Diceros bicornis minor: one gene and its partners. The protein of the gene in region 2 interacts with the protein of the main gene of each other region in a pairwise test. Links are inferred from orthologs where the notes say so. Each region holds a gene or a part of one and is shown on either strand. Other genes may lie near its edges. The genes, in order: USP2, DTX3 and UBE2L6.

Region 1 (10,292 bases), on a different chromosome or scaffold from region 2:
GGGAACTGAACCCGGGCCGCTGAAGCGGAGTGTGCCGAAGTTGAACCACTAGGCCATCAGGGCTGGCTCTAAGCTTCACTTCTTTTGGAACAACAACTGCCTTAAACTTACAAACATCATTTGAAGATTTAGTTTTTTACAGTAAATTGAAATAATATTTTTATTCAAAATTTAAAAAATAGACAAGATATTTAAATAATGAAATATTTAAATGAAGCGTTTAGCATTCATATTTCTCAAGTGATTTAAACTGCACTAAGACTTCTGGGACACCGTATATTAACTCACTTAATCCTCACACTTGCCCTAAGCAGTTGGTGCTGTAACGATGCGCGTTCGCAGATGAGGAAACCAGAGTTTGTGGAAGTGATGTGGGTTTCCCAAGGCCATGCTGGGAGCAGTGGCACAGCTGGCCTGGGACTTGTGCTCTGTCCACTAACAGCCACCCTGAAGCCAAGCCCCCCACTTCACACTTCCTTGGCCTCTCCCAGAGCTGGTGTGGGGTGGGGGACCCAGGCTTCCACTGTCTAGGCAACAGCACAGCAGGTACAGACTCCCACAGGGACAGCCCTTCCGAGTTTCCACTGCAGGCAAATGAAAGCGAAGCCAAGTGCAACCTGAGCCCCAGTACAATACTGATCTGCCGCGAGATGGACCAGGAGGCCTCCATTTCACCCAGAGTGCCAAGCTCCTGCGTGTCCCTTGGCATCAGCATCTAGGCCCAGCCAGGGCCCTTGGCCCAAGGCTTGTTATGGACATGGACTCCAGCCTCCTACCCTTGCTCCAGCTTGGGCCACTCCCTAAGGCACCCAGGCTAGGTGAGGCAGGGGTTAAAATGAACCCTGTCCCCTTGGGGCAGCCAACCCCCTAGTGTCAGCCACTGTCATTTCCTGTCACTCACGTGGAGAGTGCCCTAACCTGCCCTGCCAGGGGAGGGACTTGCTTCCCAGGAATCCCAGGCCCTCCTGGCCCCCAGGGTAAGGGATCGGTAATGCCCCACATCCCAGCAGCCTGCATGGCCCCTCTCTGCCCAGATCCGCTCTGCTCTCTGGGGTGAAGGTATGCCGGCTTCTGTGGCCTTGCGGCTGCCTGGATAAAAGGCCTCTAGCTGGGTTTCAGAGGCACGCCTTAACAGGGTTCAGTTCCTAACCTCCTACCTAGGTGTCCAGGACAGGTGAGTGGGGAGTCCCAGCCAGTCTTGCCAGGTGCTTGGGAACCTCCACAGTGGTGACCTCAAAGCTTCCCAAAGCTGCTTGCTAACAACATCGGAATGAGGCACTGCTGATAAGCTGACCTTGAAGGGTGAAGTGGGCTGAGGGAGAGGCCCTGCCTCCCTTCATCTATACTCTCTGGCCCTCGCTCCTGGCTGCTCGCACTGCCTGGGCACAGGTGTCAACTCCTGGGTAGAAGGATGTCCTGGCAGGTGTGGAGGATGCAGGTAGAGTGGAGGATTGGGGTGCGGGACACTTGTGCTCACATCCACCTAGGAGCTCTGCGTACTCCTCTCAGGCCCCCAGGGGCCTCACTAGCAGCTCTGTGTCTCAGGGGCTGGCACCCAGTGATCCACCAGGTTACTGCCTAATCGTCTTGCATGCCTTGGCAGGGGGTCATCCCAGGGATTTTGGGTCCATCTCTGTCTGTCTTGCTCCGAGTAGTTGTCCAAGGGCTGGGAGAGGGGCAAAGCGGTAAGATAAATAGACTGGAAATTTAGAACAAGAATCTTGACTGTAGAGAAGAAGCGAGTGGGCTCTGGATAGTGTCTCATGATTTGGGGTTGGGAGAGGGTGGGCATCTCTGCACTTCCAAGAAAAGGCAAAGAAATGGGCCCCCGGGCGGTATGGGTATCCTTAAATGCTCTTTTCCACACACTTCTCCTGGTAGAAAGGCACTCTCCCGGTACCTCCTCCCCAGGGGAGAGCCCCAGTCTTTCTCCCTCTCCTCTAGTGCCTCATCTTTCCTCTGTTCTTGGGCCTCTGAGCCTTCCCTCTTGCCCACAGCACCCACCAGGCCCAGTGGGGGTGGCTTTTCACCTGCTGCCCCAAACAGACAGGGCTCCCCCTAACAGACAGTCCAAGGCCCTCTGGACAGCCACCCTGTGAGGCTCAGATACTAAAGGGGCAGCTACTGACCTGTGTCCGGGGGCACTGGACGGGATCTGGGGCTTCTCCTTCCCCAGCAGGGCAGGGAGCGCAGTGGAGAGCCCAGAGGCTGGATGGAGTCTGACTCGGGCTGGGTAATCCGGAGCTCAGGTTACCGACTCTGATATATATAGTATCTTATCTGACCTCACAGAGATGGCTAGCTCAACTCACTTGCATTCCAAGCCGGGGGAGAATTAAAGGGGCAGTGGCAGTCCCTCCAGTGCTTGAGGGGCAGCCCTGATGAGCCAGTACCAGGCAAGGAGATCCTACGAGGACTCTTTGAAGGGAGGCATTTTGAAGTGGAACAGAAGGGAGATTCAAGGGGAAACAACTGGAAAGAGGGTAGAGGGATGGGGGTGGAATTGAGGCAAAAATATGGAGAAAGAGGTGTCAGTCACAGAATTAGAGAAGAGGAAAAAGCCTCAGTGCTGGTCCAACTCCTTTAATTTTGAAATAGAGAAGACCTGGAGATGGAAAGCAGCTTGTTCAAGGGCACAGATAGTGAGAAGCAGGCAGGACCAGCTCTCAGGTTTTGAGTTCAAACTCTGAAAATGGACTTTTAGGCCTGGGCTTGTATTCTAGTTCTTTCTCTTTTATTGGCTCTGAGACAGTGGGCAAGGCACTTAAGCTGTCTGAACCTTTTATTTAATCTGTAAAACAGGAGGAAAAAATATAATAATAATGCTATACTACCTCACAGTTGTGAGGATTAAATAAAATAATATTTGTAAATTTCCTGACACATAGTAAGAGTTCAATAAATAATAATTATTATTACATTGAATACTCCTACTTATTATTATAATTAGTGGTAGTATTTGTAATAGCACCTACCAGGTGAGCCTTCCTGGGGAGAAATGGGCCTCCAGGCCACCCCTGGGGAGTGCTCTGTTCTAATGCCAGAGAACAGCCCCATGGTTTCTGAGCTGGTCCATGTCCCATAAGGGACAAGGGCAAACGAGGCTTGCTATATTCCCAGGTGTCCAGTCCACCCAGCAGACAAGGTCCAGGCCCATTTGGCAAGTGCAGCTTCCCCCAGCTTACCAGGAGAAGACCGAGCTGCCCTGGGGTGGTTCCACTCTACCTGTAGGAGTGCACAGGATTCCAGGGCCACGGAGCCGGGCTGGGCAGGGTCACAGCGGAAGGAGCAGGATTCTTAACCTCTTGGGCCTCGGTGCTCCTGTCTGCTCCCAGTCTGTTTCTCCTGTTTCCTGATGGCTCTCCCCGAGGACTGGGAGGACCCAGGATGGTGCCTCCACCCTGTCTCAGCGGAGGCTACTGACTCAGCTCGGGTTCTGATGATGCACTTCATAGGACGCCCTCTTCCTGGCCCTCATTCCAGTCCTCATTCTGACCCCGGTTTGGTATGCATCTGTAGCATCAGAGGAGTGGGGGATGCCCCAGCCCCAGCCCAACCAGCTCTCCTTTCCTCCACTTCACCGACGGGTCGGACTTGAGGGACCTTCTCATGCCCATGCCTGCGGAGGTGAGCATCACCGCAATCTCCAACTCAGCCCCATTCTAAAAGCAGCCAGATGGGGAGGGAGATGTTCAGTCCTCAGAGGTAGCTAGAGTGCGTTGCGCCAGGGCTCCTCTTGGCTGTTAAGTATAAGTTACTTGCCTTGGAGCACCGGTGCCTGCTTCTGGTTTGGGATTGGTGAGAATTTCAAAGATGCCTCTTACTGGGTTGGGATTGGTGGAAAATCTCCCCTTCCACTTAACTGCTGCCCCCACCTCCACCCCCACCCCTTTGGCAAACTGACCACGGACAGCCCCCCGGGGGAGCTTTAAGAGGAGGGGGTAAGCGAGCTGCACGCCCACGTGGGGAGAGGGTTGTCAGTGTCCAGGTGTCACTCAAGCCACAGGGCACAGAGACCTGGACCTGCGGAAGCAGCCTTTCTCTAGAACACACTGATCAGCACACAGATGGCTCTTCCTGGCGCCCTGAGCTGTCAGCTGGCAGGCCCCCACACACAACTGGCATCCACAGCTGGAGCTCCTCCGCGCAGCTGGCACTCGCCCTACATTTCTAGTGCCCATGCTGCCCAGGCTGTCGTTGACACCTCAGTTTCTCAGCCTCAAACGGCACCGACCTCCGCACCCCCCTCCCCAGTCTCTGACAGGTGGCACGTACCTGCCTCTTCTCCGAGGATGGACGAGTCGAGCCGGGCACAAGCATGGAGCTGCGGGTGAGTCCCGGCTGGTGCTGGCGCTGTGCAGTGAGCAGCAGCTGACGCAAAGGGCTCCCTGGCCTCGGCTCCTGCCCGCCTCTAACCCACCTCCGCCGGGGCCCCAGAAGGGACCTCCCCGGGAAATCGGCGCCACCCAGCGGGCAGCCGCTTCATTGCGCCTGGGCCGGCAAAGCCACACCCCACGTCTCGCGTGCCTGGGACGCGTCACGGCTATTGGCTTGTTCCTATTGTGGCGTAATTAGAGCCCCGCCCGGCTAGGGTCTCCCAGGCGACCGATATATACAGAGAACCACGTGGAGGAAAAGAATGTGAATTTGGAGGGGGTGGGGCACCAAAAGAAGTGGACCTGAACGTAACGCTGCGGGGCAGCTGGAAAGTATTGGGAAAGAGGAGGGGTCATCGGGAAAAGGCACAGAATTTGAGCCCCGGGGCATGTATATCCACTTCCAGTTTTTAGGGAAGGCTAAATGTTCCGGTTCCTTCCCACGCGGCTGGGAGAGGTCTTAGTTGTTCAGCCTCATCTCTTTTTCTCTACTCTTGAGGACACTCTGTGCTCATTTTACTAACATGAGACTAGTGATTGGTTTACCAATCCTCCCTGCGTGGGTAAACGGAGGTACTGAGTGGAAGGAATTCTCTTCGGTCTTTCGAGAAAAAGCCGAGACAAAACTTAAATTTTTGCTGCTCCTATTCTTAATATATAGCCTTCCCCTCTCCCCCCATGGTGGCAAAGAAAACTGCACTGCCAGGCAGATTGGTGTCAAGGCAAATGCAGGTTTTCAGTTTCACCTGGACCATGGATCCTTCCAAGTGTCTTTACCTCCCTCTCCTATTCTCCTCCGCTGGTATTTCTGTCCATTACCACTCTCAAGTCCCTCCTTGTCTTCTAGTTCCCAGAGAAGCTAGAGGCAATCAGGAGGGAAATATTTAAATTTCTGCCGACAAACGTATCTGAATCCATTCTTATCCCTGCTCCAGGAGCACTGAAAGAGGTGTCTTTCTTCTTGGCCAAGACGAATTCCATTCTGAATCTTAACCCTTCGTTTCCTTAGGGTCCTTATTCCATCACATTTTACACATGGCTATTGACTGTGCCACGTACTCTTCTAGGCATTGGGGATACATCGGTGAACAAAACAGGCACAATCCTTGCCTTGAAGGTGCTTACATCCTAGTAGTAGCAGAAGCACAATGCCAAATAAGTAAAATATAGAGTATGTTAGATGGCAGGAAGAGTTGTGGAGGCAAAGAAAGCAGGAAGGGGGTTATAGAGTGTGTAAGGTGTTGTCAGAGATGACCTCAATGAGAAGGTGACGTTTGAGTGACCTGAAGGAGGGGAGGGAGTGAGTCATCTGGATATCTGCAGAAAGAATGTTCTAGGCAGAGGAAACAATAAATGCAAAGGTCCTGAGTGTATTTGCCACTTTTGAATAAGAACAAGAAGGTCACTGTGGCTGGAGTGAAGAGAGAGAGAGAGCGTGGGAGATGAGATCAAAGAGAGAAGGGAGGGACCGCACCTTGTAGGGCCCTAAGGCCAATGTGATGACTTGGGCATTTACTCTGTAATGGGAGCCATTGGAAGATTTTGAGCAGAGGAAGGATATGGATCTGACTTTTGTTTTACCAGATTCCTTTATCTACTGTATGAAGAAGAGATCTGAAGACAGCCAGAGTAGAAGCAGGAGACCATTTAGAAGGTCATTGCAATCATTTGGTGAAAGATGATGGCGGCCTGGGTTGGTGTGGTGGCAGGACAAGTGAGAAGTGGTTGCATTCTGGGTGTATTTTGAATGTAGAGCTAACAGGGTTTTCTGATGGATTAGGTATTTGAGAGAAAGGGAGGAATTTTTGGCCTAAACACTAACTGAGAAGGTGTAAGCTGTGGAAGGAGCAGGTTTCTTTTGGGTGAGGGGGATCAGGAGCTTAGTTTAATACATATTAAGTTGAGGTGTCTGTTAGGCATGTCAGGATGCCAAGAAAGTGGTTGGATGTACAAGTTTGGCAAGGTCTGGGTTGGAGATATAAAATTGAGAGTCATCAGCATATGGATGTTATTTAAAGCCATGTGGTTAGAAGAGATCACCAAGGGAGCAAGTTTAAATAGAAGAGATGTGCAAGGACTGAATCCTGGAGCTGTCCAACAGAAAATGGTTTTAGAAATGAGTAGGAACCATTGAAGAGACTGAGGACTGGCCAGTGAAGTAGAGGAAAAAAAATCCAGGAGATGGTGGTATGCTGGAAACTAGAGAAGGAAACCTGCCAAGGAAAAGAGAAAGATAGTTCTGTCAAATGCAGCATATAGGTTAAGTAAGATGAGTCTGAGAATTGATTTAGAAGGTTGTTGGTGACCTTGGCAAGAATGGTTTTCCTGGAGTCATGGAGGTGAAAGTCTGATTGGGGATAGGTTCCAGAAAGAATAGGAGGAGAAGGATGGACACAATATAGACAACTCTTTGGAGTTTTGTGGTAAAGGAAGGAGAGAGATTGGGTGGGAGCTAAAAGGAGAAGTGAGGTCAAGAAAGTTGGTTTTTTTTCTTTTTTGGTGAGGAAGATTGGCCCTGAGCTAACATCTGTGCCAATCCTCCTCTATTTTATATGTGGGATGCCTACCACAGCATGGCTTGCTAAGTGATGCATAGGGATCCGAACCTGTGAACCCCAGGCTGCTGAAGTGGAGTGCATCAACTTAACCGCTACGCCACCCAGCTGGCCCCGAAGAGTTTTTTAAACGAAAAATAACTATATGTTTGTATGCTGATGAGAAAGAGCCAGTAGAGAGTGAGAATTGATGATGCGGGAGAGAGAGGCGAACTGCCGGAGCAATGTCCTTGATGAGGTGAGGGGAGGGGATCTAGCACAGAGTGAGGGCCTGGCTTTGGTTTGAGGCACAAAGTGGTCATCCAAAGAAAAAGAGAGAAGGCAGACTATCTGGGCACAGATGCCCAGATGGATGGATGTGGGGTGGATGTGCGGTGGATGGATGTGGTGGAAGCTGGTGGAGACTCTCTCCTAACGGCTTCTTTTCTCTCGGTGAATTAGAAGGCAAGATCAGCTGAAAGTGAGGATGAAGCAGGAAGGGTTGGAAATTGAAGAGAGAGGAGGAGTTATGAACTAGTCATCCAGGGCAGTGGTTCTCAAACTTGAGTTTGTATCAGAATCACCTAGAGAGCCTGGTAAAGCCCCACCCAGAGTGTCTGACTCAGCAGGTCTGGGGTGGGCCTGAGAATGTGCATTTTGAACAAGTTTCCTGGTGGTGAGGCAGCTGCTGGTCTGGGATGGCCCTTTGAGAACCACTGTGCTAGGGAGTGGGAGAGTGAATGGATTGTGGAAGTGCAGTAGGGTCGTCAGGCAGCATCAAGGGCCCATTTGCGGTAAGAAATCATGAATTGAGAGTACCTCCATTCAGCATTCTTTCTCATCGTGTTCACAGTTACTGTCACAGGTTTAGAGTCCTGTATCTTTTAAACTTTGATTTTCTGCTGACTTTCCCTTTAACATATAATAGTCTCCAAATTCTTCCCTTTTCAAAAGCGAAAATCATTAACTCAAGTTCTATCTCTCTCCTCTTCAGAGTCCTCCTGGAAGAGCTGGAAACACTGTATTTCCCCACCTCCCGGTCTATGCAGCATCCCCCTGTCTTCTACCTCTCAGCTCCTGGTCTGTGCACACTCCGTGTCTTCCACCTCTCACACGTCAGGAAGCCTCCTTACTGATCTCCTGCTTGCTAACTCGAATGGGCCTTTTTAGTTATAATCAATTACTTGACTTCCTGCAGACTTGATACCTCCAACCATTTCCTCCTGAAGTCGTCTCCTCCTTTAGGTTTTGTGACATGATGCTTTTCTGGTTTTCCTTCTGCTAGCTTCTTCTCATCCTCCTTTTCCTCTGATGGGTTCCTTCATCCTCTATTTCTAGTATAGCTTATAGCCCGGTGGTTGTTTATACGTGCAGATTGTCAATTTCCTGGGATAACGTCTGATTCCTCTGGTTACTAGCTGCATGAGGCCTGAAACATTTATGTCTGTTTCTTCATATGTTAAAAAAAAAATGAGGATAGTAGTAATATCTGCCTCATTGAGTTGATTTGAGGATTAAATGAATTAATAGGCATGAAAAGCTTTCAACAATGCCTGGCATGTAGTAAGTATGTAAGAATATTGCTCTGATGCACTATTTATCCATCAGCTGCTTGTATGTGCTGATGATGCTGAAATCTATATTTTCAGGTAGACTTCACTCCTGAGGACCAGTCCTAATTATCCACCTGCCTCCTGACATCCCCCTGGATGTCCCATCAGCATCTCAACCTCAACCTGTCTAAACCTTAAACTCATCATATTCCATTGTTTGCTCCCCTTCCTTTATTCCCTACATCTATCCCATTTGCTAGCCAGAAATTTGCTAGTTTCCAACTTCTCCGCTCCTTTAATTCTTACAGAGGTGTTATCTTAGTCTGCAAACTCAGATATGCAGGAAACACAACATTGTTTTTCTGTAATATAACTACATTTCTATTTGGAGCCAGCCTCTATTCTGCTGGAGTAGTGGACACTTAGTTTCAGTCAAATGATGGGATTGCCCCTCCTTTCTCCAGGGATTGCCTAAATTCCGGGAGGGTGTCTCATGTATATATTTTTGCTATAGCACTGGAGGAAGTGGCCCTTGTTATTACATGGCCACCCAAGTGTCCACTGAGATGTCTACTGCCTAGTTCCTGCTGGGTGGTCTCTTTAGGTCTGGTGTCTCTCTACTACCTCTAGGTTACTCTTGGATGCATGAGAATCATTCTGCTGCTTCTGGGCCCTGGCATAGCTTGAGAAAGTGACACTGTCCAAGGTTCCAGCCGTCTCTAGAATAGACTACACTCTGCGGTCGTTTCCTCTTTCTAGGGCCTTGTTTCCTTCCTGAGGATCTACCCAAGATAGGAGGGGTGGGGCCCCACTGCCATCAGATCTCTAAAACCTCTTTGGGGTTTTGCTGTCTTTCTGTGCTCAGGTCCCTGAGGACAGAACCCACCAACATCTATATACTTATTGCTTTTCCTCTGGCTCTTGTCTGCTGGTGGTAATGCCAATGGGAGGCCTGGCTTCACCCAAGATATTTCCTCCACATCTTTTGTCCAGGCTGCGAATCTTTTCTGTTTTATTAAGGGCCTAGGCAAGTGAAATTCAAAAGCCAGATGTGGCTTACCATTTTTTCCCCTGTTTTTTTCTGTCACATCCTTTCACTGAGGCATAAACACAAAAGCTTGGCTGCTTAAAATGGGGCTGTGGGAGTAAAGGGAAACCAATAAGAATAATATTTAAGAATACCGTCTCACCATGTTCACTACATCTAGAGGGGACAATATCTTTTTTGTGTGTGTGTGAGGAAGATATGCCCTGAGCTAACATCCGTTGCCAATCTTCCTCTTTTTGCTTGAGGAAGATTCACCCTGAGCTAACATCTGTGCCAGTCTTCCTTTATTTTGTATGTGGGGTGCTGCCACAGCATGGCTGATGAGTGGTGTAGGTCTGCACCTGGGACCCACCTGTGAACCCAGGGCCACTGAAGCAGAGTGCGCTGAACTTAACCACTACACCACGGGGCCGGCCTAGACCATATCTTTTTGATTCTGTCTCTTTTGTTCCCCTAAGCTTCCCCTCTCTCCATCTCCATTGCGTCTGTCTTAGTTCAGAATTTTATTCTTATATTTCTCCTGGTTTGACAATATCCCCTCCCCAGCCCTGAAGATCAAGTTGCTGAAATAGTAGGACGTTTTGCAGTTGATGACTTTTGATAAAAAATAAGATTAGGAAGACTGAGTGACCTAGGAAATGCCTGATAAATATTTTTTCTTCTCTAAAATCAACACTAAAATTTATCACACCAAATAAGGGAAATATCAGTAGCATTTTACAGATCTTAAATTAGCAGTAATGTGTATGTTATAATTTCCACTTGTCATCCCTGGGTGATT
Region 2 (11,000 bases):
CTGCACCTGAGCCGCCATCTCCACAGAATTCACCTCTGCCAAGAATGTCTGTCGACATGCAAGTTCACGAAGGACACAGTATTCAACTCCTTTCTCTCATACCTGATTTTCACGTGCGCCTTGGGGTCATGGGGATGGAGAAGCTGGGCCTCAAGGGGATGTCCTAGCTCCAGGGCACTGAGTGGGAAGGCATGCTGGGAGACAGCAAGACTGTATCCCATCTAACACTCACTCACCCTCACCCAGTTTTCTCAGGTCACAGAACGAGCCTGGGGAAAACCGAAGGGTAAGGGCAGGCTGGAGTCTTCTTACCCCCTGGACACCGGGCGGGAAGACGTACTGGATGACGATGGTGCCGTACTTCTCATAGCTGGGCAGTAGGAGTGTGGCGTCCTTAGAGACCAGCATCCGCCCATTCTGGGGCTGGTTGCCCACCAGCTGCCCGTAGAAGCGCCCGCACATGGGGCAGGCCTTCTTCACCTGCAGGGCCCGGGTGATACAGCCCTCACAGAACGAGTGCCGGCACTTCTCCAAGGTCTTGGCGTTCTGGATCTCCCCCAGACAGATGGGGCAAGTGCTCTCCTGCTCTTCTGCCTCTTCCCGAAGGCGGGGAGGAAGAGGAGGGGGCAAGGGAGGTGGAGGTGGGGGGAGTCCCCGTGCCCCTGGGGGCAGGAGCGGGGCTGCTCGGAGAGGAGGTGGGCCTGGGCGGTGCAGCTCGGGGTGCTCCCCCCCACCCCCCAACGCCAGGCAGCCCATAAGCTCCCCCTGCCTCTGAGCTTTCTTCAGCTCTTTCTCTGCCTCTTTTAGAAGCCCCTTGAGAGCCTTCCGGGCCAGGTAGAGCCCATTGGGAGGGGCCGGGGGGGGGCCCTGTGGGGAAAGCTGGAGAACATAGATGTCAGAAGTCTCGCCATCTATGAGGATGGACACACGGTGCTCCTCGCGAAGCCGGGCCAGTCGGGCTGGGGTCTCCTTGCTCAGGAAGTCCCACACAGGCTTGGAGACAGTCACTTTGTTCTTGCAGGTGCCTCCACAGGCTGCCATTCTGGACAGGACGAACGACACTGCCCCCAGGGTGAAAGGGACTCAGGGTGGGGGGTCCCCATTTGACAAATGTCAGTGCCTCCTACTTCAGGTTCCTTTCCAAACCTGTATTACCTCTACTCTCTCATAGTCCCAACTCCTCCCTCTAGTTCATTTTCTATCTCCTCTCATCTTTCAAACCCCAGCACCCACTGAAGAGCAAGCAAGAAAGTTTCTATAACTTTGTTACTATCATCTAGGCCAAGCATCAGTCTTGGTTCTCCTTACACTCCTCCCAAGATCACAGAAACGATCTGCCCCTCCCCCCTCTGAGTGAAAACCGGGTTCTTTCAAGGGGAGGGAGACTTTTTGACCTCCTTTTTGCTCACTTTGATCCTGAAGAGCTTAGAATTGGCATGCAGGCTCTCCCTCTGTGTCCCTGCTCCCTACTTGTAGGTTGTGTGACCTGGTGGGTGGAAAGGAAAAGGAAGGAAAGTGAGAAACCCCTTCCCCCCATCCCACATGCCCCTACCCAACAGCCCACCGCACAGAGATGGGAACCTGGGTGTCAGTTAGTGGGAATGGGATTACTTGGAACATGGAATGGAGGAAACCAATTTAAAGGTGAAAATTGAGGTTCTCTTGGGAGGTAGATACCTGGAAAGCCCATGGACGGAAACAGCAGCAGAAATCCCTCTATTTCCACACTCGGCTGACCAGGACTGGGGGGAAGGGAGGAAGGTAAAGGGTTATGATGACAAAGGTTAACATTTTCCCCAGCCAGTCCAGACACAAAACAAAAACTCCTCTTCCATTTCCTCTCCTTCTTTCCTGCAAAATTCCCTCCCCAGCCACTCCCCAAGTTGCTAAAGAAGGAACTTGAACATGCTAACTTTCCTCTTTTCTTCCCCAGCTCTGAGGATCTCCAGAAAGCCTGGGTGCAGATAAGATAAGTCAGGAAGGGAAAGACCCACGCAGATGGAGGTCTTTCTTGCCACCTCCCTCAGATCACATGGACAAGAATATCTCCTATGCTCCCCAACTCCTCGCCCTGCTCCACATTCCCAAATAATTCAGCCCCTAGGGAGCCTTCCTTGAGAGCTAACCCAGTCCCTTCTGCGGAAGTCTGTTTGGAATGTGAACAAAGTGGCAGCAGCCCCTGCAATAACGAAGTTCTCACCCTCGCCTTATAAACCCAGCGCACGGAGGGCGAAGTGCAAGCCGGTCAGCAATCTAGCCCGCATTTAGGGAGGGGTGGGGCTCCCTCAGGGACTCGGCTGGAGGAGCCTGATGTTTCCCCTGAGTCTGGCCACGTTCAGCTACAGAGCTGTCCCTACACCACCTCCAAATGCAGCTCAAATAGAAAGAGGGGCCATTAGTGTGACCTCAATTCCTTGACTGATCCAAAGGGGAGCGGATTTCCGTTTGTGCCTCCACCCTAGTTCCCTCAAGGCCAGATGCACCTCGAGATTTAGAGAGTGAAACTGGACCCCGAGAGCTTCGGTTCATACTGTCTGTCCAGGTGGAACACGCCCCTCCCCATCAGACGGAACCCAGGAGCTAGGTGTCCTTAGCTCCAAGTCCTGCCGGCACGGAAAAGGGAGGCGGGGCCACAGTTTATGCTGGGTCTCTGATTCCTCTGGGGCAACCCAGGCCGGACACGGAGTCAGTCCCTCCCTCCAGAGAGAGGCCTGCAGAGGGGCAGCCGGGAAGGGCAAGGGTCCCGGGGGGCATCAATCGAGGCAGCTGCACCCCTCCCCCCACGACGTCCTGCAAGACCCGACCCGGAACCAACTCCCCACATCGCCCTCTCGCCGGAGCTCCCGGAGCCCCCTCATGGGTGCATGTCGGCCGATCGCGGTCCCCAGAACCCCCAAATGGAGGCCAAGGCTGGAGGGTGATAGAAAGAGGATCGGCCGGGCGTGGGGGAGTCGGGCGCCGCGCGCGGGGGAAGGAAGCGGAGGAGGGGGCGCAGGGGGAGCGGGAGGGCGCGCGGGGGGTGCGAGCCGGGCCCGGGGGGCGCGCGGTGGGTGTGGGGGTCGCCAGGCTCACCTACCTCTCGTCAGCGCCGCCATTGCCGGTCACATGACTGAGGCTGTTGCTGGGATGACGGTCTGGGCCTTAGCAACAAGGAGGGGGGAGACCCTGAGAAGGTGGGGGCAGTTTGCAGGGGGTGCAGACTGAAGGGAAGGGAACGAGGGAGGACGGCACCCTCTTCCCCCCTCTCGGTTGATAACCACCGTTTCCTTTTGACCTCTTCTTTCCACCAGCCCCTGCCCTTCCGCCCCAAAACAAAAATGGAGGCGCCGTCCCAGTCTTTGGAGGAGGGGGTGGCGTCCTGGAACCGAGGGTAGGAGGTTAAATCCCTCAGAGACGCCACTCTTCTCCCTTCCCCTCCCGGCAGGAACCCTCTCCCTTTTTCCCAGCCAGCTGCGTGGCAGCTGCTGGGAGCTGGTGGTGGATGGGTGGGTGAGGAGTGTTGGTTTAGGTAGATGGGGAAGAGGGGCAATTTTTTTGTGATCCTTATGCTGGAAGGGCCTTTGAAGAAGAATATGGGATGGGAAGAAGAATCACAGTAAAAAGAATAGCATTGGTTCTAAAAGATAAACCCCAGGACTAAACCATTTCAATCCCCTCCCTCATCTCTTGCCTTTACCTAGATTGTTACCTTCTGTGACCCCAACAACCTGTTCCCAGATGGCTATTGGTGAGCGCCTCTGATTTTTCTCTTTCCACAAACAGGGATATTGAGGCTGGTGCAGGATAGGGAGTGAATACATTTTTTTTAAATGCCTTGGCGGGGGGGTGGGGTCAAGTCTATGGTTGAAATAGTTAAAAACTCTCACAGAAAAAAAGAAAGCTGTGCTCTGTTCTGCTTCCCACATCAGAGCAATCTCCGCCCCCAGTCCAACTCACTTCCCTGGGGTCACATCAAGCCAGGTTTTTCCACCAGCCAAATGGCCTCCTCCCCAAGCAGTACTGATCTCCTAGACTGGCAACAACCTCTATTTGTCCACCCCCTTTCTTCACTCCCCCTCTGGGCTGGAGGGTTGGTCACTTTCTTCTTCACTTTCCCAGGACCTTGCTGTATGTACTCTTCCTGCCTTCCAGGCAGAGGACATCTTCCCCAGGAAGCCTGGGGGAACACTGAATTCCATCTCTTTTAGCTCCTGCATGCTGCCTGCGGTGCGTGGTGCGTGGTGCGTGCGTGCGTGCCTGAGCTGAGAGGCTCACTCATCTTTACTGAGATGGGAGTGTGATCAAGCCCAGGACCTGGGGGAAAAGAGAGAGTCATCTCGTCTCAGTTCCCCCTGGCCCCCCTATAGCTGAACTTCCACAAAGTTGGAGAATAAGTTTTCCATTCCCATGCACAGCCCTCGCAACCTTTAAGTTCACAACCATCTATCTAGAAACCCACAGCCTTAGTTAGGGGCCCAACAACTTAAAGATGAGAATTCTCCCTCTGGTCTCTGTACACCTAAGCACAGGCTTCCTCAGAAAAGAGGGGGGGAACAAGAGGCAGTTCTCTGAAGGAATTTGGATTCAATAATTTATTTTCTATATAGTGACAGCAATGGGAGTAAATACACAAGATCTTTTCTATTAATAAAACAAAAAAGATGAAAAACAGAAACAACTAATGAAGACCATACCGCTCATGATACATTAGCCACACGGTCAGAAAACCCATTTCTAAAGAACAACAGTTGCTGGTGTCATGGAGTTTTATTGCATTCAACAGGGGAAAGGTAGACTTGGAATGAAAAAGATCCATCAGGCTTCTGACAGGAAGGTATGATAGGGGCTCCAATCCTTCACTGGGGACTCCTCGTTACTTCCTTTGGAGTAGAAGATGCAGGGGAGAGAGGAATTCTCCTTTATGACCTCATGACTTCTGTGTGACAGATCAGTCCAGCCAGATATAGAGCGAAGAATCTTTGCATCCCCACAGGCCAGCTGCTGGTATACCCATCTTTATGTTTAAAAAAATGTAGAAGCTTCATGGGAGATAGAGGATAGCAAAAAGAATGGCTGCCTTAGCCCCAAAGGCATTGGGGGGAGGGGAGGACACTATCTCAGCTCATCAGGGTCCTCTACATTCTGAGACTATCACGAATCAACTCAACCCTCTTTGGAGGGGGCTGGGTGATTGAGTTATGGCTCTGACTCCTCTCTAAGGGTTGAGAGTGAAGATGACAAACAAGGCCATCTGTCCCCTGGGAGACACAGTAGCAGTATAAGATAGGACAGAAGAGAACAGAATAACAAAACCAACTGGAAAACCGGTTTGAGTAGGGGTCGGGGAAGGGAGTATGCTAGGTGCACACCTCCAGGGAGCAGAGGAGGTTCCCACACTTGAGGCTTCCTCTTTACATGACCAGGGTTGACCCAGGTAGTGATATTGCCTTCTGCTAGGACTAAAACCACAGGGATGGCTAGACACGAAGAAAGGAAATTTAACATGGAGAATGAACCTTACACCCCTGGCCCATCATCCCAGGCCGCACCCCCACTGAAGGGTTCCAGCCCCAAGATGGGTATGAGGTCCTGGTGAAGAGCAGCAACAGTCAATCAAACACCTTTGGAACGCTGTGGCCATCTCTGGGCTCCCGCACCCAGAAGTACAGGAGTCGGGGTGGAAGTGGGGTGAGGGAAGAGACTGGAGAGTAGTCAATCCTTGACATAGACCTTCTCCAATTCCCTGCATAATCAAGAGACCTCTTAGGTCCCACCTCCATGAGGTGCCAGCCTGCTGACCACTCTCCACCCCACCTGTGTGTAAGACTGGCCATGTCCCATCATATGTGTACATGCCAGCACCCACATCTGTAGTATCTTGAAATTCTTCCATCCCAGGGCCCACTGGGAAGGAAGCATGCCACAGTGAGTTCTATAAAGTTATCAGCAAAATTCAAATACTCTTAGTTCATCCCACACAGCAAAGTGCATCCAGAGTAGTTGCTTGAGCTGGGTCCATCTGTCCAGTCAGGTCCTGAAGTTGGCAAACAACCCCCTTCCCCAGCTCTTCCTATGTTATAGAAACAACAGGACACTTGACAAATCTCAAGGCACTTGGGAGAGTCAACAGTAACGCTCTCATGAAGCAAGCAGACTTGTTGGAGGGGAGGGCAAGGGAGGAAAACTGGACAAAGGGGAGAAGGGACGACGTATTTCTGAGGGCCAGGAAGAGCCCGCTCAACAAGACGGAGTTGTGGGGATGCAAGGAGCCTTAGCCTGAATTTAGCAAAGGAGGAAGAGAAGAAGTAGTGGCCAGAATATCCACAATTCCCCCAAGCCCCTCAGAACCCCACCACCTTGAACATAAGCCTTGCCAGCAGTCACCATGGAGTCAGGCAGTCTCTTAGGCAAAGATGTTGGTAATAAAATCCAGGAATCGCTTAGCATACTGCTCAGGATGAACAGTAGAGATCTCTGCCCCAGCCTGTGAGAGGAGGTATAGAACACGGTGTCAGGCCACCCCACGCCCCTTCCCCCCTGCCCGCCCTCTGTTCTACTCCAGACCGTTTCCATACCCAACCCTTTATCCTTTTGCCACCCCATTGCTCTGGCACAAGAGGCTCTCTCTTCCCAAATAACAGTCAAGACAGGAAAGGCAAGGCTTTGGGGAACCCTTACCCCATGCTTGACAGTTTTGGCTGCATGAGCTGCTTTCTTCTTGGCATCATACTGTGTCAGGATGTCAATAAGGCCCATGAAATACACCTCCTTCTGGGGGGCCCCTGGGGAGAGAGACCAGCAATGAAAAGCAAGTATAGCCCCAATCCCCTCTTCCCAGGAACCAGTCAGATCTCTTCTGAAAAGCTAACCAGCCTCTCTACCCACCACCCTGCTCTCTGTCTGCCAAGGACAACCCTCCCCACTCTTAAAATTTCCAGGATCTCTCTCACCCTCAGCACTCCGGATGGCGTAGACATCAATGAAGGATTCAAACTCTCCAGGACCCAGGGGCCGATGGGAATGGATGTAGCCGCCGATACCCTCAGGAGAGGTGCCATAGGAACCCACCAGAGCAGGAGGTCCTGTCGGGCCACAGTCCCCATCCCCCTCTGACTCCTCCTCCCGCACAGGCCCCTCCTCCTCTGGTTCAGAGCCCCGAATGATGTCGTGGATGCCCAGCAGAAGGCTGTAGTCCATGATCTTCAGCTGCACTAGGAACTGAGACCCCACTGACAAATCAGACACCCCAGCTCTCCCTCCCCACTCCCAGGTACCACCCTTATACCTCCACCCCTGAATTTCTGGGGCCCTCCTGGGGAAAGGAAGTGTAAAACTAGAGAGTTGGGAGTATACCATTGCCCTTTAGTACCTAAAAGTCCTGGTATCTAAGGTCATCCTTTTAGCTCATTCCAGTTCCCCCATCCATGGGTCCCCTCTAGGGGGGTGTCACATCTCATACCCAACTCCCCTACATGCAGAGAGCCCAAAGAATAAAGGGAAGGGGAGGAGTTCCCTCATATCGTGAATGGGAGAGAGAGCTAACCTCTGGGGAGCAAAAAAGGAAACAAAGCCCTTCCCAGAACACCCCAGTCATTACCTCCACATCTCTCTTTAGCTTCTCTAAAAATACTTTCTTCTCCTCTTCACCAATGTAAACTTTCTGGTTCTTGTTGAGAAAGTCCATATCCTTAAGGGTGGGCAATTCTTTAACCTGAGAACAGGTAAAGGGACATCTTGGTAATATATCCTTTCCCCCAAGGTCCCAGAGGACCCTGCTCTATCTAGGGCTCTGTCTCCAACTCAAGAGGCCTCTAGGGGAGGGAGCTCTCATGATCCCTCTCACCCAACTCCACACTGGGGTGCTGCCCCAGAGTTTGTTCTCACCTCCAGGGGCTTCCCCAGACCAGTCACTGCAGCTGTACCCCAAGTCACAGCCCACTACTTTCTGCTTATAGTTTTCAATAAAGACTCTCCATGCTGACTTTTCTTTCTTCTTAAGAAAAAACAGCTGCTTGAATAGGAGAGTCCAGAGTGGGAGGTGGAGGGTGGGCATTTTGCTCTTAAGAGTCTGGCATCCTCACCCATCCCCAAACCTTCCACATGGAATAACCCATGCCAGTGACAAAGCAGCTGTTCCCCCTGCCCCTTCCAAACAATCCCTGGATCAGTACAAGTTTACATCTTTTTCAGTAGATTAAAATAAGAATAAATAGCTGCTGATCCCTACCTCTTGATCCTAAGAAGATCCCTTTCACCTGCCTTCCCCCATCCCTCACCCTATCACCTAAAATCAGTATCACCTTTTCCTTATCGCTGGCTTCCCGGGACACTAGGGAGCCCTGTGGAGAGACCCAAAGACAAGTCAGCAGAAGTGGCTAAAGGAACAGTCAGCATCCAGCTCCTAAGATGCGTGCTCAAGCCCAGTCTTCTTTCCTTAAAATGAATGAGCCAGTGCCCTCCCAGGCCCTTCTCCACACTCAGGTCATCAGGAGCCTCCCCCTCAGGCCTGGCTCTCCTCTCCTTACTTTGAGGTCATACTTCCTGTGCACAGGAAGACGGTGGCTAAACATGTTGCGCATCACCAGCATGTAGCTGTCTTCGCTGTCCACGCTGACTCGGTACATGCCCAGGAACTGGGGCAACAGTGTGTTGCCATGGCACTTCACGATGTACTGGGGTGGAAGGGAGGAAGGAATGCGGAGAGGCTGAGCAGCAGATATACAAAACCCAGGGATGGGAATTCAAACACTACCATTCCAGAGTGGGGCAGAAAACTTCAAGTAGACAGGTTACAAGAAGGTCAAAGGGTGGGGGGGTGTTTCTAAAGATGCCCCTGGTTATTCATACAGTTTCTGAATCCACATCTCCTCTGATTTATTCCATTTGTATAATATCTCTAAATTTTAAAGTGCCTTCGCTCATTTCATCTTTATCATTCTTTGAGATGGGCAAGGTAGGTGTTATCCTTCTTTTAGACCCTTTTTGTATGCAAGTGGTCACAGAACCAGGATTAGAAATTACCTCTGCTTTTCAGTGAAATGATTTTATCTAGAACCAATGTTTCTTGGTGGGCTAGATTCTCACAGTAAAAATGTTTGCATGATGGCCTATAAATTTGGATTCTAAAAACAAAATTCCTCTTTTAATGCTACCATCTCTCTCTCTCTCTCAGTAATGCTGCCTACTTCTCTTCATAGCCAACCTCTCAGAAAATTAGTCAGCAATCAATCTACTTCCTATCTCTCATTCACACCTCAAATCAGTGAAATGAGATTTATACTCTCCTTTCCCCTCTGAAATCTCTCTGCTCCTCCCTCCCCCAAATCCCTCGGTTGCCAAATCCAATGGGTATCTGGTGATTGTCATATTTCAGCTGGGTGGCACTTGATACTACTGACTCATTTCTCCTTAAAACTCTCTTCACCCTCCGCTCCCATCATACCACTCTTCTGCTCCTCCTCCTCTCTGTCCTCAAATCCTGTATCGAATGAAGTAGGGCATAAATAATGAAGAGCATCCATCTACTCTGAGTCTCCTTTATAGGCTCTTTTCTCTTCTTGCTCCTTAAGATTCTGTCCTCAACCTTCTTTTCATTTCACCCCACACCTCCCTTCAATAATCTTATCTATATTCGTGTGGCTTTAATTTCTATTGACCTATAACTCTCAAATCTAGACTCCTAGTCTCATCCTCTTTCCTGAACTCTGTACCTCAACCACTTGCTGGACATCTGTACCTGGATGAACTGCAGAAACCCCAAACTCAACATGTCTAAATCAGAACTGTCTTCCTCCAAAAACCTGTTTCTTTTTCTGCTTCCCAACTGTTGGTGAATGGGTACCCAGTTATCCCTAACCAGGAATTTGGAGGTGCCTTTGCCTTAATTCCCACAATTCTCCCATAGGTCTTCCTTTCGATCTCCACTGCCATCACTCCTCCAGGCCCCTGTCACTTCTCACCTAGACTATTATAATTACCTCCTAACAGGTATCTCCACTCCCAGTATTCCCCCCTCCAATCCATTCCCTAAAATGCTTGGTGTTATTTCTAAGTAACATATATATCACTCCCCTACAAACCGCCTTCAGGATAAAGCCCAAACTCTTTGCGTGGCTTATAAAACCCTTCACAATCTGGCTCCTGCCTAACTATTTTTCGCCAATACCATATCCCAGCCACACTGAATTTTTTGCAGTTCCCCAACACCAAGCTCTCTCATGTTTCTGTGTCTTCACAAGTGCTGTTTTCCCTTGCCTAGAATGCTCTCTTCCACTTTGTCCAATGGTTAGTCTCTACTAGTCTTTCAAGAATCAGCTCCTATGACAACTCTCTCTAAAACTCTCTCTTTGAGCCTCCCAGTGCACCTCTTCCCCTAGGTGAGCTGAGATGCTCTTCCTCTGCAGCCCCAGAGCATTCTGTACATACCTCTACTATTGCACACATCTTGCTGTGTGCTAATGCTAGCTTACTGGTCTCCACCATTAGACCAAGAGATCCTTAAGGACCACAACCATTTCATTCACCTCTTTCTCCACTGCGTAACATAGGGCCTAGTAATAAGAGACATTCAATATTTGCTGAATAAACCAAAGACTCCTTTTAGAGTCTTTCATTCATTCATTGCTCATTGATTTTGGTGAGATTTTTCTTCAGTAGAAAGATATTTGGGCAGTGTTTTCATCACCAAAATATTCCAGAAACTCCATATTCCAAGTTAATCTGATCAGACAGAATAGCTTCCCTAATCCCACTTAGGGCTGGATATAATCATGGCTTTTCCCCTCCAATTTATCCCAGTTGTGCACTTATTCTGGTTTTCTCCCCAAACTGCATTTATTCCTAATAGTATATTTGGTGTTAACACCTCACCTAATTCTGACTTATTCTATAGTTAATACTTTGCTATATGTGTGTGCTTTATGTATTAATCCACAGGGTTTGAGATCGTAAGTACCAAATGATAAGGGACATTACTAAATTCTTCTATTTAGTCAAACACAAATAGGTACGGAAAGGCTTTT
Region 3 (10,368 bases), on a different chromosome or scaffold from region 2:
CCACCTTATTCTGTGTGAGCTTGGACAAGTCACTTAACCTCCTAGGCCTCCATTTCCTCAACTGTAGAAAGATGATGACCTTCCTTGTGGGGTGGTTGAGAGGATTCAGTATAACCTCACATGTCATGTACTGAAAATGGTGCTCAGTCCACTGGGAATTCTCAACGAATGTGAACTCTTACTACTAGTTTTATAAGCCTCATCCGGCTGTAGGCTTCCACAACAAAGATGTGACCACCTTGGTGAGCATGCAAATTGAGACTAAGCCTTTGAAGGGCAATTTGTCTGCTGGTCCCACAGACCTTCCCCTGCCCGCCAACCATCCCCTCCTTTATGGCTTCGCCAGACCCCATCAGGCGCCCTTAGCTGGCTCCTCTGCATCAAGCTTTGGTCTCCCGGTCCTGGATTCTTTCCAACTAGCATGGTTTTTCAGGACCCCAGTATGGCTGGAAGGTCTCTGGCTAGTTCCTGGGGACACACCGACCCACCTCAGTCTTGCCCACCATTGAAGTCCTCTGATTTCATAGTAGTCTCTGAAATGTGACCTTCCCAAGGTTTTCCTATCACCCACCTTCTTCCTTCTGACCTGTTTCTCCCCTCTTCATTCCCATCATCTCAGAGCTAGCCTCCTGAGAGATCTCATCAGTCCCTGCATCTCCTTCTAGCATCTTCTTCTCCTGGTCTGTGAGGCCTAGAGCAGGTGTCCTCACTCCAAGCCAGGTACATGGATTGCTTCAACCCAGCAGCCCACAGGACATGACAGAGGTTCAAATGTTGACCTGACTCAAGGGCTTTTCTCCATTTTTCTGGACTACAGGTCAGTTGACAGAGAATATGGCACAACCCAGGCCACTCTGTTGTCAGTAAAAATCCTAAATAATCAAACAAATTGTTTCCTTTATATTCCAAAGAGTTAAGAAAAAGCTGAACTATTTTAATTTTTATCTCCAAGTAACCAAAGGCGTATAGATGAATTTCTCAAAGAAAATATCTTCTGTCACTAGTAATTAGATGACAAAATAAAGATCTTGCCCTCTGACAGTCCTTTGGAATACAGTTTTCAAAGGGAGATTTCATCAAGATGATATCTAATAATAGAGAAAAATCAGAATAGTAGAGACAAGTTATCCATGTTGTCATATGGAACAATAATTTTCTGAAATATGATCTTAAAAGAAAACAAACTATATTTTAGATCTAAGGAAGCAAATTCTACCAACTGTGGGAAACAGGAAGTTTATTCCTACCCCTTGACAAAGGTCCAAGGGATCTTTTTTCCTTCTCTTTTTTTTTTTTAATGCTGTTTGCTGAAGCTTCTGTGGTGGGTTTGGTGGCTACTGGTTTGAGGAAGGGGTCTCCTACCAAGTCCAAACGTCTTTTAGCCTCTTCATCAGTCTGCCTCGACCTCAGAAGCAAGGATCCAGAGAGAGACCCCCTCTACCATGATAACCTCCAGTAAAGAAAAATGTCTCTAACGCAGGGAAAATTCTTGCCCAGTCCTAACCCTCCCTGCCCAGGCCTCTGGCCTGAGTCACCCCCATCTGAGGCCACAATCCCTGGGGACACTCACGGGCAGGAGGAGTGCGTGCCACACCAGGATGTCGGCGGCATCGCTGAACAGGTTCTGCAGGTACCGGGGAAGGTTCTTCTGAAGATCCTCCAGCTCCTGCGGGGGGCACAGACAGTGGACAGTGGGCCCTCTCTCCCCTACCTCAGCCTCCTCCCCCGTCCCAGCAGCAAGCTGTCCCAAGTCCCAAAGGGGACACCCTAGGGAGAGAAGCCAACAAAGTCAGAGCCCCCATTTACTGAGTGCTTAGGATGTGTAGACACGGTGCCAAACGCTTTAAGTGAATTATCCGATGTTAGCCTCACCCCAGCTCTGTACGTAGCAGGTGGAGGGAAGATGCAGATCCCTGATCCAGATTTTACAACTTGGGAGTAAATTCTCTTAGGAGCCTTTTCTCCTGAAACTGAGGTACTTAACCTCCATCCTCTTGTCCTCACCCGAGGAGTCACAAGTTCCTAATTCCCTCTCTCCCTTCCTTCCGTAGCCTCCGCTGAGTATCCAGCATGACATGTCCTTACAGTGCTCAAAGCAGTGTGGGCAGCAAAGACATCACCCCATCCCTGTCAATCTCCTCCAGACCAGGGCTGGGGCAGGGAAATGACTCAGGCAGCCCATGGCAGAGGAGAACTCCGCAGAGAAACAAGGGGACAAGGAGTGACTCGCCTTCCCAGAAATGTGGCCCAGTCACCTGGACATCACTGAATTCTCCCGACAGCCCTTTCCTGAGTATCCTCTGTTGACACTTGACTAAGACAGGGCCCAACTCTCCAGAACTTCATTGGAGTAATGGAAGCAACATGAATGTGATTATGTGAATAATGTGGGGATACATAACAGGGAAGGAGAGGAGAGGGGAGCAGGAAGGCTTTGCAGAGGGTGACACTGTGAGCTGAGCCATGCAGAATAAATAGGAGCCCATGGTGCAGAGAAGGGAAGAGGTACCAAGGCATAGGCCCAGTTAGAGCAAATGTGTACAGTGTGTCCCATGCAAGATTAATAATTATTACAGAAAAAGGGTTCCACAGTCAAGTACATCGGGAAACACTAAGCTAAACGGATTTCTTTACTGCAGGACTTCACAAAGCCTTTAGTATACTGTTGTGTATCATGAACCTCCAAGATGTGAGCCCACAGCATGCAGTACTTCTCAAATGTATTTGACCAAGGAACCCCTCTCCCCCTTTTGGGGTCCATCCTGTGGGGCAACAGACCATTTTTTTTGGAAAAGACCAATAACAGATAAAAAGACACTCAAGGGCAGGTCATATTCCTCTGGAACACCAGATGAGTGTAAACCAGTGGTTCTCAATCAGGGGTTATTTTACCCCCACTCTCAGGGCATTTGGCAATATCTAGAACCATTTTGGGTTGTAACAAATGGGGGAAGTGCTACTAGTCTCTGGTAGGTAGAGGCCAGAGAGGCTGACAAACATCCTACAAAAAATTATCTGGCCCAAAACGTCAATAGTGACAAGGTTGAGAAACCCTAGTGCAAACAAAGGCAGAGAGAGAGCTCCAGCCCACAGCTGGAGAGGAGTCCTTTAACACTGTGTCCTGTCTGACCTTTATCTGCCCCCCAACATAGAAACACATGCCTGTCCCCCATTTCCTATCCCTCAGCCCATACTCCATCTCTGTTCATACAACAAACTGCTTCTTGCACCTTCTGCCCAGAGTGTCTGACCTCTCATTTACCTTTTACCCCACACTAGAAGTATCTGCTACCATAAGTCATAGTTCTAGCATCATCTGTGACTCTTTGGCAAGAAGGAAGCCCCAGGTTGAACAGAGAGGCTCTGGAATGCACATTTTCCCGACTTCACTATAACTAGGAACACTTGGACTTTATCTGTTATGGATGAGTTCTGCCAAAACTTTCCCCAAGCCTGATGATGTTGAAACCCGAGCTAGGGGACACGGCTCTTTCCTGTGGCCTGTTAGGAAATCATCTGACTCAAGAGAACAGAAAACGAAAGTACAGAGCTCACTGAAAGAAACTGCAGATGGGAGCCCCATCCACCTGGGCTCAAATCCCAGCCCCATCACTCCCAACTGGGTGACCCTGGACAAGCAAGTTATTCTCTCTGAGCCTCCACTTCCTCATCTGTAAAATGGGCATACATGACTTATCTCACAGAGTTGCTGAGAGAATTCGATGAAATAACTAATGTAAATTGCCTGGCACTTAATGGTGCCAATGCAACAAATACTGGCTCCCAGCTCCTTCCCACTTGGCTGGAAAGACTCTCTGCCCCATTTTGCTGCCAACCTTCAGATTTCAGTTCTTCTGAGCTGAGCCTGCTCTGGGTGCCCCAATCCGAGATCATGTTCTTCTCAGAGGCTGAGCGTAGCAGGCCCTCCTTCACCCCCTTCAGGCCTGCCCCCAACTCCGTACATTGAAGGGGCACTGCTGAGAGACTCAAAGCCTGGGAGGTGTCAGACCCACTTCACCAGGATTGTCCTCCCTTCCCGGTCTATCTTCATCTCCTGGCTGCACCGCAGCCCTCCAAACACCCTGGGTTTTCCCCGCTCTTGGGGGAAATCGCCCCCTCCCCATCCTTCCAGACCTCATTTCAAATTGTGTCCCTGATTGGAATGAACTCACCGAGGGCAGGATTTTTGTTCGTCTCTGCCTCCCTAAATCCTAGAACAGGAGCCAGCACACAGTAGGCATTCGACAACATTTGCAGAACGAATGAATGCATGCCACCTACTCCAGGACAGCTCCAGGACCGCCTTGGCATCTCTTCCTACCGAGAATACCCAGGGAATCTTGCTCCCGACTCCTACTCAGTATCCCATACTTCTCGGGACGCTGATGTGGGTACCAAATCATGGGGCGGGGCGTGCGCTACTCCAGGGCAAGGACCTTTTCCTGGTTATTTCAGTTCACAACCCACCCACCACTACCCCCAGCAGAGCGCCTGGCTCCAAGAAGACGCCAAGGAACCCTTCCCGCACCTGAGACGCACGCAATTGTTACCACAAGTTTCTGGCAGGAGAAATGAAACTGAAACCAGTTTGGGGGGAGCTGGCTCATCCCCATTCCCAGCACAGCTCAGGGCGCCAGCGACACCCTCGCCTGATGTGTCCTCACCCCTCAAAACTCCAGCTCCGGCGCCTCTCGCAGACCCACTCCTCTGGGGAGGGGGCGGGGATGACAGAGATTCAGCCAGCCCTGGTACCAGATAAACGCGCTCAGAGAGCGGAGAGCCGGGGGAGGGATGGAGGGAGGAGGGAATGGGAGAGCGAGGGGAGCCAAGAGAAAGGGGGCATCCTACATGCAGTTACCTTCGCCACCCGCTTGCTCGCTGACATCTCGGGACCGAATGTGGGGCTTCGCGGACTTGAGCCAGACTGTGCCCCGACCGGCGGACTCGGCGCGCCCCGCCCGGGGGACCCCGCCCCCGAGAGCCCCGCCCACGCCCCGCTCCCCCAGCGCGTACGCGGGAGCCGGACAGTCCTGCCCCCCACCGCCTCTGCTGGGACTAGGGGCCGCCGAGGGGAGGATCCGCCTGCGCCCCGGCCTGGGCCCCGGCGCGGTGGGCTCCGATCCCCGGAACTTGCGCTCTTTGTCGGGAGCCGCCGCGGGCCCGGGAGCGCGCGGCGGTGCCAGATCCCTGCGTCCCGCTGGGGGGCGCCGCGCACCAGGCAGCAAGCGCTCGCGGCGCGGGGCCGGGGTCCGCCCATCCGGGTTCTAGTTCCAGCTCCGCCGCCGGAGGCCCCCCCATCTCCATCAGCTTTCCCACAGCGCCCCAAATATACACTCTCCCTAAATAAATAAAAAACTCTTGGTATGCAAATACAGCTCCATCAGACCGCCGCCCTAAGCCCCCTCAACGAATTCCTGGAGCCCCCTGGACAAATCACTTTCCCTCTCTGGGCCCAGTGCTCCATCTCTAAAAATGGATGGGGGCCACGGTAGACTATCTCCCCTCCAAGGACCCCTCCCCTGGCAGCTTGGGATCCTTTGTGCTGTCCAGCATTCGGTGGTGAGACTGCAAGGACCTTTCTCCCAGGTGGCTGCTTGGTGCAGAGCCCCGCAAGGGGGCGCTGTTGGGCCCAGTCTCTCTTGCTTTGAGGATTCGGTCGACCCTTCATTTAGTCCCTGGTTAAGCTTAGCATTTAGTAAGTGCCTACTATATGACGATTTGGGAAACAGTTGAGTGGGGGAGCTTCCCTTATTTTACCACTGGGCCATTACAAACTGCAGGTCTACTGTGTGCCCCGCACACATAGGCAGGAATTTCCACCCCTCTCTCCAGGGACAGAGACCCCTTCCGCCAGCCCAAAGCTGAGGCCACCGTGGAATTGCAGCTCCTGAACACGGAGCAGCGTCTGGGGAAGAATCTGCTAGTAAAAATGAGTCTCCTTGGGAGGATTGAAGCCATCTTCCTCACCCTACTCCTTTCAGTCCAAATGAGAAGAGAAACCAGCGTATTTTGAGCACGTTTTGAGTTCTGAACTCACTACTTCATGTAGTTTTTATCTAAGTGTCTTGGAGCCAAATGACTTCTCAGCTCAGATGTGGGATGTATTTGCAGAATGATTAATTCTGTTTAATTCAATCCTATAAACTTTATCCGGGCATCTTCTACATGCCAGAAATGAATAAGCCACTGTCCCCAATCCCATAACATAGGTAGAGATGAGGGAATGAGGCATCTGAACCATCTCAGTTAACCAGCATCTACTACTGAGTGCCAGACACTGACTTTAGGGAACACTGCGATGAGAAAGTGGGGTCCCTGCCCTTGATGAGCTCTCCTACTGGTGGGACAGAGGGAAAGAATGCAGCCCTTGCGTTTTTAATGCAAAGCAGTAAGCACAAGCCTATCAGGAATCATTTGGTGCTCTGGGAGCCTGAGGAGGGTCAACTTGATCCTGCCTCAGAGAGGGACAGAGGTTTCCTGGAAGAGATAAAAATCTAAGTGAGTTGCAAAGCATGATAAGGGGAGCAACCCCGTGGCCTAGTGGTTAAGTTTGGTGCACTCTACTTCGGTGGCCCGGGTTCACAAGTTCAGATCCTGGGTGTGGACCTACACCACTCGTCAGCTGTGCTGTGGCGGTGACCTATATATAAAATAGAAGAAGACTGGCACAGATGTTAGCTCAGGTTGAATCTCCCTCAAGCAAAAAGAGGAAGATTGGTGTTCAACATCATTAATCAGCAGGGAAATGCAAATCAAAACAACACTAAGATATCACCTCATGTCCATTAGAATGGCTATAATCACCAAGACAAAAAACAACAAATGTTGGAGAGGATGTGGAGAAACAGGAACCCTCATACACAGCTGGTAGGAGTGCAAACTGGTGCAGCCTCTATGGAAAACGGTATGGAAATTCCTCAAAGAATTAAAAATAGAGATGCCCTATGATCCAGCTATCCCACTACTGGGTATCTATCCAACGAAGCTGAAATCAATAATCCAAAGAGGCTTATGCACCCCTATGTTCATTGCAGCATTCTTCACTATAGCCAAGAAGTGGAAGCAACCTAAGTGTCCCTCAACTGACGATTGGATCAAGAAGATGTGGTATATATATACAACGGAATACTACTCAGCCATAAAAAAAGACAAAATCGTCTCATTTGCAACAACGTGGACGGGCCTGGAGGGTATTATGTTAAGTGAAGGAAGCCAGAAAGAGAAAGACAAACACTGTATGATCTCACTCATGTGTGGAATATAAACCAACACATGGACAGAGAAAACTGTATTGTGGTTACCAGGTGCAATGGGGGTGGGGGGTGGGCACAAGGGGTGAAGGGAGACATGTATATGGTGAAGGACAAACAAAAATGTACAACCCAAAATTTCACAATGTTAAAAACTATTAAAACATGAAAAAAAAAAAAAAGAGGAAGATTGGCAATGGATGTTAGCTCAGGGCTAATCTTCCTCACAAAAAGAAAAAGAAAAAAAAAAGAATATGGGGTGAGGGTGTTCCAAGAAGAGGGAACAGCATGAGCAAAAGTGAGGTGGCAGTGTATACAGAAACTGAAAGTGGTTCTACAGTGTGGAGCAAAGCCTGTCCACTGCTCTGTGGTTCTCCTTCCTTTCCCTTCGGAAACTCTGCATCCCTGAAGTGAATCCAGAGTCCTGGATTTAGCCCAGCTTCCCCATCCTGGGATGGATCCTAAACTCTCACACAGCTGGGAGGCCTGCATGCGCGGTCTCCATGTCCTTCCACAATGCAGACCTTTGTGTGTCAGAAGGAGACCCGGATTCTAGTTCCACATCTGCCCCCCAGTGCAGCATGGCCTTGGGTGGGACGTAGAAGCTTCTACCTGCTTCCCAGGACCCCTGTGAGGCTAAGCTCACAGAAGTGGAGGAACTTTGAAATCTATAAATCCAAGAAATAAATACTCAGGATTAAATCCCAGTTCCACTATTATTGGCTGAATAAACTTGGGCAAATTACTTAACTTGTCTGTGCTTCTGTTTTGTCATCTGTAAAATGGGGCTAATAATAGTGGATGTGAGGAGTAATGAATTGCTATTTGCACAATAAGTGATAGTTATAATAATAATAAATACTAAAATGATGGCAGGTGCCCGTCCAGGATCGAATGTGCTGGCTTGGAGGGAGAGATTACTGAGTTTGCTCCCTTAGAGCAATGGCAACACTATCTTCCTCAATAGAGCTCTTTAATTCTCTCTGATCTAGTCATTGGTGTTTATTCATCCATTCCAAAAATGTACTGAGCGCTTACTTATGCAAGACCCTGTGTTGAGCACTCTGGGGGCCCCGGGAAGGGCTGAGGCCAACTCTGTGTCTTTACCATTAAGTAGGAGAGATATTCATCTGTAAGTATAACAAAAGATTGGAGGAGAGAGGCCTCTAAGTTACTTATATGTGGAATCTAAAAAAAAAAAAACCCAAAAAACAAAAAAAATAACGAACTCATAGATACAGAAAACAGATTGGTTGTTGCCAGAGGCAGGGGATGAGGAGTAGGTGAAATGAGTGAAGGGGGTCAAAAAGTACAAACTTCCAGTTAAAAAATAAATGAGTCCTGGGGGTATAATGAACCACATGGTGACTATAGTTAATAATACTGTATTGGATGTTTGAAAGTTGCTAAGAGAGTAGATTTTAAATGTTCTCCTTATAAGAAAAAAAAATTGTAACAACATATGGTGACAGATGTTAACTAGACTTACGGTGATGAGCATTTTGCAATATATACAAATATCAAATAATTATGTTGTACACCTGAAACTAATATAATGTTGTATGTCAACTATATCTCAATTAAAATGTTTTTAAAAAATTAAAAGATGATATACCAAAAATAAGAGGCCTCAAGGCTTGACTTACTGTCTGTTTATTGTGAGCATAAAATGAGATTGTGTACATGAGGGGCACCTTGTAGGTACTAAAGTTACCTCACCTGTTTATAATGCAGAGTTCTGGGTGAGAGTTTCAAATTGTTCAGAAGGCTCCAAGGACCTTTGGAGCGTCTTTGAGGGGGGGACTGGTTTAGGACGGAGCTGTTGTTTTCCTCCAGGCCCTCTCCCTGGGCTTGTTCCTATCTGGGGCTGGGAGGGTTAATCTCAGAATTCCCCTAGCCCTCCCTATCGCCCTGCAGCCCAGAGAAGTTCTCAGGCAACCAAAGGAGAGAATTTCCTGCTTCTTTTGATTGAGGAAGGGACACCCTCTTCCTGTCTGCCTCACATACCTCCTTCTCCTGGGCAAGTCTCACACATACATACACACACACACACATACACATACACACACGCATATACAAACCTCTCCTCACAGACTACACCCCAATGAAGGTGAGCCCGGCCCTTGTGGGTGAGGTGGAGGGCATGGTTCAGAGGTAGCCATGGAGACAAGGAGCCCCAGGAGAGGAGCGAGGGGGATTCCTGCCACTAGACCAGGAAGATGGCCTAGAGAGTCAAGGAACCAGCTTCCTCAGCCTGGCTCAGCCACTAGCTTACTTGTTCCTTGGGGGACTTTGAACAAGAGAGATAACAGTAATGACAATGACAACGATAATAGCTAATCTGTATTGAATGTGCCAGGCTGTATTAGTCTGCTCGGGTTGCCATAATAATTTTATTTATTTATTTATTTATTTTTCCCCCCAAAGCCCCAGTAGATAGTTGTATGTCATAGCTGCACATCCTTCTAGTTGCTGTATGTGGGACGCGGCCTCAGCATGGCCAGAGAAGCGGTGCGTAAGTGCGCACCCAGGATCCGAACCTGGGCTGCCAGCAGCGGAGCGCGCACACCCAACCGCCAAGCCACGGGACCGGCCCAAGGGTTGCCATAATAAAATACGACAGGATAGGTGGTTTAAACAACAGGAATTTATTTCCTCATGGTTCCAGAGACAAGAAGCCCAAGATCAAGGTTCCAGCCTATTTAGTTTCTGGTGAGGGCTCTCTTCTGGCTTCCAGATGGCTGCCTTCTCACTGTGTCCTCATGTGGCCTTTTCTTGATGTGTGAACTCAGGCAGAGAGAGAAAGAGAGAGAGAGAGAGAACATTAGCTCTCTGACATCTCTCCTTATAAGGACACTAATCCTATTGGATCAGGGCCCCACCCTTATGATTTCATTTAATCTTAATTACTTCCTTAGAGGCCCCATCTCCAAATACAGCCACACTAGGGGGTTAGGCGTTACAGGGGAGACATAAACATTTAGTCCTTGTGCTAAGTGTTTGACATGCATTATCATAATTGATCTGTTTCATAGTTCTCACTTTCACTCTAACTTTATAAAATCAGTTCTTTTATTGTCTGCATGTTATAGGTAGGGAAACTGAAGCTAGGTCACTG

Evidence for each region.
Region 1: the proteins of DTX3 (region 2) and USP2 interact in binary tests that used the Homo sapiens proteins (3 or more experiments, as listed by UniProt). The link is inferred for Diceros bicornis minor from reciprocal best matches to the Homo sapiens genes DTX3 and USP2.
Region 3: the proteins of DTX3 (region 2) and UBE2L6 interact in binary tests that used the Homo sapiens proteins (3 or more experiments, as listed by UniProt). The link is inferred for Diceros bicornis minor from reciprocal best matches to the Homo sapiens genes DTX3 and UBE2L6.

What each region holds. Positions count from the first base shown.
Region 1 is NC_080746.1:17,642,348-17,652,639, reverse strand, and holds the start of USP2 (ubiquitin carboxyl-terminal hydrolase 2), read right to left. Parts: upstream 4,376-10,292; 5' UTR 4,276-4,375; intron 3,738-4,275; exon of another isoform or gene 3,186-3,737; intron 1-3,185. UniProt on the Homo sapiens protein: Hydrolase that deubiquitinates polyubiquitinated target proteins such as MDM2, MDM4 and CCND1. Isoform 1 and isoform 4 possess both ubiquitin-specific peptidase and isopeptidase activities.
Region 2 is NC_080756.1:11,380,107-11,391,106, forward strand, and holds the start of DTX3 (probable E3 ubiquitin-protein ligase DTX3), read right to left. Parts: upstream 4,173-11,000; 5' UTR 3,077-4,172; intron 2,375-3,076; 5' UTR 2,201-2,374; intron 1,743-2,200; 5' UTR 1,678-1,742; intron 1,487-1,677; 5' UTR 1,439-1,486; coding exon 1,410-1,438; intron 1,062-1,409; coding exon of another isoform or gene 1,043-1,061; coding exon 313-1,042; intron 1-312. Other genes in the region: PIP4K2C (phosphatidylinositol 5-phosphate 4-kinase type-2 gamma), read right to left, coding at 6,383-6,463, 6,658-6,761, 6,930-7,197, 7,577-7,690, 8,280-8,318, 8,505-8,651. UniProt on the Homo sapiens protein: Regulator of Notch signaling, a signaling pathway involved in cell-cell communications that regulates a broad spectrum of cell-fate determinations.
Region 3 is NC_080770.1:16,364,117-16,374,484, reverse strand, and holds the start of UBE2L6 (ubiquitin/ISG15-conjugating enzyme E2 L6), read right to left. Parts: upstream 4,955-10,368; 5' UTR 4,886-4,954; coding exon 4,859-4,885; intron 1,667-4,858; coding exon 1,571-1,666; intron 1-1,570. UniProt on the Homo sapiens protein: Catalyzes the covalent attachment of ubiquitin or ISG15 to other proteins. Functions in the E6/E6-AP-induced ubiquitination of p53/TP53. Promotes ubiquitination and subsequent proteasomal degradation of FLT3.